Linked DNA regions of Neurospora crassa OR74A. The protein of the gene in region 1 purifies or fractionates together with the protein of each later gene. This does not show direct contact. Links are inferred from orthologs where the notes say so. Each region holds a gene or a part of one and is shown on either strand. Other genes may lie near its edges.

Region 1 (4,938 bases):
AACTGAACCGAAGTTCGAAGCCGAAGCAGAGGAAACGACATCGGAGTGGAACCGAACGAAGTCGTCGCTGAGTCGCAAGCGCAGAGAGAGCACTGTATTGACCTGCGACATCATCAAACCAGGCTTGCGACGACAACCAACTACCTACCTAGCCACTCCTCTAATATCACACCTGGCGCAACGCATTTGCCTCACCTACCCTGCCAGCCAACCTCAAAACCAACAATTAATCAACACCATCCACCGCAACCCGCCCATCATGCTCACCACCACTGCCTCTTCGGCTGCGGCCGTCGCGCGCCAGCTCACCACCCGCCGAGTCATCGCCCCCTCCTTCGTCTCTCAGGCCATCCGCACCTACGCAACCCCCGCCGGTCCCCCGCCCAAGGGCTTCCGCATTCCGACGCCCAAGACGTGGGACCAAGAGGAGGAACACGTGCTGGATAAGAACGGACGGTACTTTCTTTTGACGGAGATGTTTAGGGGCATGTATGTGGCTATGGAGCAGTTTTTCAGGCCGCCGTAAGTATCTTGTCTGTCTTTTGTCTGTTTGCTGGCTTGGGAGGATAGGAGGTGGTGAGTGGTGGAAGTTGGAAGGATCTGGGGTGAGGAGGTGGGCAGGATCCACGACATGACAAGTATCATGACTCGCGCACTGGAGTAGTATGGAGATTGCGGCTCTGCGGCTCGTCGCTTGGTTAAGCGCGCTCGTACTGTGCTGCTCCTCCCGCCGCTCCTCCGTCACCACGACGATCAACAGCTACCTAACGACTGCGCAAACCCATACCACCATATTTACTGACACCTCTATTCCAGGTACACAATCTATTACCCCTTCGAAAAGGGTCCCATCTCCCCCCGCTTCCGCGGCGAGCACGCCCTTCGTCGTTACCCGTCGGGCGAAGAACGCTGCATCGCCTGCAAGCTCTGCGAGGCCGTCTGCCCTGCTCAGGCCATCACCATCGAAGCTGAAGAGCGTGCCGATGGAAGCAGAAGGACGACCCGCTACGATATCGACATGACCAAGTGCATTTACTGCGGATTCTGCCAGGAGAGCTGTCCCGTGGATGCGATTGTGGAGAGTCCCAATGCGGAGTACGCAACGGAGACGAGGGAGGAGTTGTTGTATAACAAGGGTGAGTTCTTTTCTGGGGGATGCCGTGATAACCTGGTGCTGGCTGGAGATAGGTTCTTGCTGTCGGGGGGCCAGGAAAATATGACATGTGCTGACAACAGATACAGAAAAGCTACTCTCTAACGGAGACAAGTGGGAGCCTGAGCTTGCGGCTGCTATTCGCGCCGATTCACCTTACAGATAAAGGGGTTGTGGCTTGAAGACCGGATAACAGGACGGACAATGAAGACAGAGATTCTTTTTTTCGTTGTTGCTATGCTAGAGTTTCGGAACCAGCAGTTTCGGACGGGTTGCGGTATCAACAGGACGCACCATTGTGTTATAGAAGGCAGGCAGGCAGGCAGGCGGACAGGCAAAAGAAGGCTGTAGATACATTTGTGAATTGCGTCCCTCATCCAACTTCTTGTCTTTTTGAAAGTCATCTCGCCAGGGAAGATCCTATATGCGGCCAAAGGGACGCATCAAGAAACCTAAAGATGCTTGAAAGGCTGAATGTACAATTAGTGTACGGTACCATCTGTAAGATACAAGCTGTATCGTGATGAACTCCATCCCATCGTATCCATCAACCGGGATTACCCGTCTAACAGACGAGTGGAGTGATCCTGCCCGTGGGGTGTTAGTGGAGTATCTGCTTGACACATTTCTCCGCAGTGTACAAGACGGTACCTGAGCGACCTGCACGTGACTCGGCTGACGAGTAGCAGAACGAGCTGAAGCTTCCATGGCTGCAGTTGCGGGGGAGCATCGAGGTTGTACGTACCAAGGTACCTCCACACGCTGAAGCTCCAGAGTCAGAGGCGGGTTTGTTAGCTTCGTTGGCCGCCGCCGCCCGCAGTTGCCCGCACCCGCTTCCCGCGCCCCCGGCGTACCATAGGCAGTAGGCGAGAAATTTATCATCATCATCGCTGATTCCAGCCAACCACCGCCCAGAAATCCGCTTCCAGCCAGAGAAACCCGCAACAACCTCGTCCGAGAACCACCGAGTAGTAGCGTCACACTCATTTTCGGCCACAGCCTTTCCTGTCACCACCACCGACCCTCAAACACCCGACCGACCCGCGCAATTGACACTTTCCGCGACAGCCCACCCAAACAAAACAAAAAATGTTCCGCACCGCCGCCCTCACTGCCGCCCGCGTGGCCCGTCCCGCCGTCGCCTCCGCCGTCCGCGCTGGTGTTGCCCGTCCTGCTTTTGTCCAGGCCGTCCCCAAGGTCGCTGCCTTCCAGGCTGTCCGGTTTTACAGCGCCGGTGGTCATCTCAAGAAGGATGAGGTCTTTAGCAGGATTGCGCAGGTGTTGAGTGGATTTGACAAGGTGCGTTTTACATCACAAGAGACCTACCCGACACGACATGCATACAAACTTCGAGCAGGAGGATGAGGAGGAGGAGCAGAAGAAAGGAAGGAGATAAGAAAGAGGTGTGAAGAGGCAGAGGGATACGAGTGGTCTAGGGACATACGCTACGCGAAGACAAGAGGAGAGAGCGTGCGGGGGAGCATCATCATCGCAAGCAAACCAGCCGGACAACAGAACACAAACGGAGGAAGACCAAAAAGATGCGAAGAGCATATCAAGGCTGCGCAGACGCGACAAAACGAGATGGAATACGATGAAGAGCACTGCGTGCTCCACACGCTGCGCCATGGTCGGATTTATCGGGAACTTGGGAGCTCTTCGAATGGGTCTGCCCTGCCGGCTGGGCTGGTTCTGCTCCGATGATGATGCTCTCCCCTCGCTTTTTTGCCCTCCTCCTCTTGCTATCTTGCTGGTCAACTTCTTGTCTCTTGCTCTTCTTTCTTCCTTACCTCGGCTGGATCTCCCCTCTCCTCCAGCCTCTTCTTCAGAAGCCACAACAGTCCCGTGTTCGCAACCTTTTTCCAGGCCCAAGCTAACATCTACTTTCCAGGTCAACGACCCCAAGAACGTAAGTACAGACGCAAACACCAACATTTCCTCCTCACCGTCACGGAGACGAACTATGATGTGATTTTTGGTCATGATGGGTCAATCCCAGTGCCCTGGTGCTCCCGGCCTGACAGTCTGGAAGGAGAGACGAGACGGGCAAACCGCAAGAATAGATGCAATGGAACGAGACCAAAGATACAGGGATGAGAGATTCTGACACAAGTTTGCGCATCACAGATCACCGAGACCGCCCACTTCGCCAACGACCTCGGTCTTGACAGCTTGGACACCGTTGAGGTTGTTATGGCTATTGAGGAGGTATGTTGCTCCCTTTTTTTTTCTTTTTATTCCGGGCCCTTGTCATATTCCCTTTTCGGCCCAAGCTCAGCCTCTTATCACAATCACCCTTCAACCCAAACACAGTCATAGCACATGGACGCCAAACACGATGCTAACAAACCTACCCGCAACAGGAGTTCTCCATCGAGATCCCCGACAAGGACGCCGACCAGATCCACTCGGTCGACAAGGCCGTCGAGTACATCCTCAGCCAGCCCGATGCCAACTAAAAAAAGTCCTCTGTTTCGTTCCTTGTTCGAGCGTTTTAGAAACCCCACTACTTGCGCAAATATAAAGCATACTTCTTCTCCCTACCTACCCACCTTACCTTTTCACCTCTATCTTTATCCTTAACTAGGTCGATTCGAAACATATCTTTGTCATTGTTTGGGATTCGATTCGATCTGTGTACCATACGAAAACTTAGAACCTGAATGAAAGAAGAGATGACGAATGGAATGGAGCATCGTGATGGGTACGGGCTAGATGTGAATTGTGGGCAGGTCGGACTTGGTCTTGATGTTGTTATCATTGTCAGAGTGGTTAGTCTGGGTTGGTCAACGCGGCGACACGTTGCAATGTTTGGTGGTCACTAAAGTGGTATTGTGGCAGGCTCAATATAGCGTTGGTGTCAACTCTTGTGCTGTTGCGTTGTGTTTTGTTTGTCGCCTATATCCGTACCTACACACTACTTACATACCCCCCCCCCCCCCCTTTCAGGTAAAGAGAACAATCATGACTGGAGCGCACTCAACTTGAAGGCCTGGGTTTATATGTCTTCCTGTCTGATCACTGCTCAGTTCAACAAACACAGACCAGTACCTGAATCGAGCGAAGTTGGCGAACCAGGAGAAACCATCTGACTGGGTATCTAGATGTATCTACCTTTAAACTGAATAGATACGTGGTATTTCTCAAGAGAAAATGTCAACTTTGTTGCGTGACCAAGTGAAGAAGATGTGACCGACGAGAGATCCTTGATACTACGACGGAGTATGTCTGGTCCTTTAAATGTCCCACTTCAATATTTAGATCGCGGCATGAAGATACCTACCTTAAGGTATGCATGTATTCACCACCACCTCAGAAACTTGCCCTCAAGATCACGTAAAGCCAGAATTGTTCGGTACCTACCTCAAGCTAAAACTGGGCTCCGTACCAACCGATATTCTTTCCTTTATTTTCCTCTTCGTCTTGTTTTCTTTCTATCTTTTATTTTTTATATATTTTACAAATTTTTTTTTTAATTCTTTTTTTCTCTCTCTTTGTTTAGGAGGCATTGATTCGTTCATTCACTCCTGGGAATCTCAATAGTATCGACTCCATCCACTTCGGTTAACCTGCCTTTATAGTGTGTGCGTACAAGACGCCGAGCGAGGGGCTCAGTGAGGTAACAACAAAGTTGATGATCTACAAACGATATCATTCAAGATAACAATACTGTCGCTGCTCTGTGTATACAGCCAAAGTACTACTTAAAGCAAGAAAAGTGGAATCCACCAGCTACTCTATACACCATTAATCCTACACTACCACCCCTCGCTGACATACATGTC
Region 2 (2,982 bases), on another chromosome or scaffold:
ACGCCTGCCAATGCTGCATCCTCGATCTTCAGTTCGGTCTGCCCATCATCATCAGAGACAAGGCCCTCGAACTTGTGGCCCCCGGACCGCAGAGCGAAATCAACCGCGAGTACTTTGCCCAAAACAACGAGCGCGCGATTGAAGAAGGAAGAGCTGGTGTAGAGGAGTACGAGAAGGCGGACGAAAAAGCCAGAGAGCTGCTTAGGAGGCTGGCACAAAGCAAGCCCTATTTCAGGAAGGGCAGGGAGGTCGACGAGGAGGGTAACCCCGTTAACGGATCATCGAGTGGCGCAGGACGGGCGACGGGAGGCAATCCTGCTGTGGGAGCCGGTGTTGGTGGGGTTGGTCCGATTCGCACGAGAGATTCCAGGGCGGCCGCAGCTGCTGGCGCCAGACCCGGCGGCGGACGAAGACCCAACGCAGCTCCGGCGCCTCCTCCGGGACCCAAGGACTGGCTGCCACCGGCCGACAAGAGCATAATGTCCCTCTTCGTCACCGGTATCGAAGATGATCTGCCTGAGTTCAAGATTCGCGACTTCTTCAAGGCGTTCGGAAAGATCAAGTCGCTGGTGGTGTCGCACATGTCGCATGCCGCGTTCGTCAACTACGAGACTCGGGAGGCTGCTGAGAAGGCTTCAGCGGAGTGCAAAGGCCGTGCTGTCATTGCCGGATGCCCCTTGAGAGTTAGATGGAGCGTGCCCAAGGCGTTGGGAACAATGAACAAGGAACAGCGTTCGGAGATGCTACGAGATGGTCGGTCGGCCTTTGGCAGTGGTCAAAAGACAGGTGGCCAAAAGGCGATCGGGGGACAAAATGCCCAGGGTGGCGCATCAGGAGCGCAGAAAGACGACGCATCTAACCTCACTATCGCAGCGCCGCCCGGTGCGGCAGACGTACAGTACGCCAGTCTCTCTGGCAACTAAGCGGGGTCAGAAAAGTGCTTATTAATCATGGTATTGCAAGGCGTTCGGAGGCTATTATGATTTGGGGTTTGGGCTCAGGGTATCTCGGATACGTTGCATTTCCTGATATCGCATGGTCTCTTCCACTAGTTTTCTACATTGAGGGGTATCATTGATGATTTATACATATACACGGGCAACGGCACTGTCCTGTTGTCCCATTACGTTCTCACGAACTTGAGCTTCCAAAATCCTTGTGTTATCCAACCATGGTTTTGTATTCACTTATGCCGAGCAGCACTTCTGCTCGCCGCCGATCTTGATGGTCTGGTTGCCTAGCTTGATGGTATCGTTGTCGCCGCGCTCGGTGTCCTGGTGAATCCGTAGCTCTGCAACGAACATGGAGTCAGCAACCATATTCTGTATATGACTCGAGCACCCCTAGACTTCGCTCACTGTAGGTCTCGCCGTCCTTACGGCCCTGGACGACATTGGATCTCAAAAAGCTGGCAACTTCCTCGGCATGCGCAATCGCAGGCGCAATCGTAGGATCGTTGGCGGGAACGTTCTGGTTCTCGCGGAAACCACGGCGGATGGACTCGTAGGCGGCCGTAAGGGTGCGGTTATCGCCTAAGATAGTGGCACATGCCGGTCAGTCCGGGGAGCTACATGGGCCGGCGGATGCACCAAGGAGACTGCAGGGGAACATCGTACCATCAAAGGCAACTCTCGCGGCGCGCATGAGGTGACGGTAGGCTTGAAGGGCAGACATGTTGACAATACTGCTGGTAAACGAGGGTCATGCAAGGGAATGCAGGTTCTAAAGAAAGTAAATAGTATTGTATCGCCAACTTCCGGTCTAACAAAAAGATTCAAGGCTTGTCTGGAAACAGTTGCAGTGACGGCAATGCGACCTCCAAAAATGTCGCCCAGGACCGGGTAGGCTTGCCGGCCGGAGTGGACTTGGAGTTGCGATGATTGTGATTGGCGGTCGATAAGCAAGATGTGGGGAGCTTAGCCATCGAAAAATTTCCAGAATTCCGTCGGTAAAAAGACAACAGAGGGGCCCCGCCTATACAAGCTTCTGGTTCCTGCGCCTGTCACTGTCTCCCAACCCAACCATCACCATCCTCATCATCGGCCGCAAAAATGACTACTGTGGTTCCCCTTCCTCTCCCCACCCTCCCTGAGGGCTGGACCGCCGAGAAGGACTTCAAGCCCATCGGCAAGATTGCCCAGAACGAGGCCACCCAGCGCACCATCGAGCCCGTCGGCCCTCACTTCCTCGCCCACGCCCGCCGCGCCCGCCACAAGCGCACCTTCTCCGAGGATGACCGTATTCAGGCCCAGGAGCGTGCCAAGAACGTCGAGGAGGACAATGAGAGCGACCTCAGCGAGCCCGAGGACCCCATGATGCTCTCTCGCGACGCCAAGGACTGGAAGGTTAGTGCTCAGCGTGTAATGGTGTATCACGCCACGCAAGACCTTGACAGCTAACCTGATTGCCCCGTATACAGCAACAAGATCACTACAAGGTTCTCGGCCTTTCCAAGTACCGCTGGAGGGCCACCGAGGAGCAGATCAAGCGCGCTCACCGCAAGAAGGTCCTCAAGCACCACCCCGATAAGAAGGCCGCCGCTGGCCGCACCGAGGACGACAACTTCTTCAAGTGCATCCAGAAGGCCACCGAGGTCCTCCTCGACCCCATCAAGCGCCGCCAGTTCGATTCTGTTGATGAGGAAGCCGATGTCGAACCCCCCACCAAGAAGCAGCTCCAAAAGGGCAACTTCTACAAGCTCTGGGGCAACGTCTTCAAGGCTGAGGGCCGTTTCAGCAACACCCAGCCCGTCCCCAGCTTCGGCAACGAGAACTCTACCCGCGAAGAGGTCGAGAACTTCTACAACTTCTTCTACAACTTCGACAGCTGGAGGTCGTTCGAGTACCTCGATGAGGATGTTCCCGATGACAGCGAGTCCCGCGACCAGAGACGCCACACCGAGCGCAAGAACCTCAACACCCGCAAGAAGAGAAAGGCTGAGGACAATGCTCGTCTCCGCAAGCTGCTCGATGACTGCTCGGC

Evidence for each region. The genes of interacting proteins can lie anywhere in the genome.
Region 2: the proteins of acp-1 (region 1) and NCU03008 purify together in Saccharomyces cerevisiae (affinity purification with mass spectrometry; 3 studies listed by BioGRID, with this or other methods). This does not show direct contact. The link is inferred for Neurospora crassa OR74A from reciprocal best matches to the Saccharomyces cerevisiae genes ACP1 and MZM1.

What each region holds. Positions count from the first base shown.
Region 1 is NC_026506.1:4,098,119-4,103,056, forward strand, and holds acp-1 (acp-1), read left to right. Parts: upstream 1-1,906; 5' UTR 1,907-2,242; coding exon 2,243-2,452; intron 2,453-3,044; coding exon 3,045-3,062; intron 3,063-3,280; coding exon 3,281-3,361; intron 3,362-3,516; coding exon 3,517-3,612; 3' UTR 3,613-4,076; downstream 4,077-4,938. Other genes in the region: nuo21.3c (NADH-quinone oxidoreductase chain I), read left to right, coding at 260-522, 817-1,136, 1,243-1,319. UniProt on the Saccharomyces cerevisiae protein: Carrier of the growing fatty acid chain in fatty acid biosynthesis. May be involved in the synthesis of very-long-chain fatty acids.
Region 2 is NC_026501.1:8,458,832-8,461,813, reverse strand, and holds NCU03008 (hypothetical protein), read right to left. Parts: upstream 1,817-2,982; 5' UTR 1,675-1,816; coding exon 1,617-1,674; intron 1,533-1,616; coding exon 1,359-1,532; intron 1,292-1,358; coding exon 1,188-1,291; 3' UTR 973-1,187; downstream 1-972. Other genes in the region: NCU03007 (pre-mRNA-splicing factor slt-11), read left to right, coding at 1-923; NCU03009 (zuotin), read left to right, coding at 2,052-2,345, 2,420-2,982. UniProt on the Saccharomyces cerevisiae protein: Assembly factor required for Rieske Fe-S protein RIP1 incorporation into the cytochrome b-c1 (CIII) complex.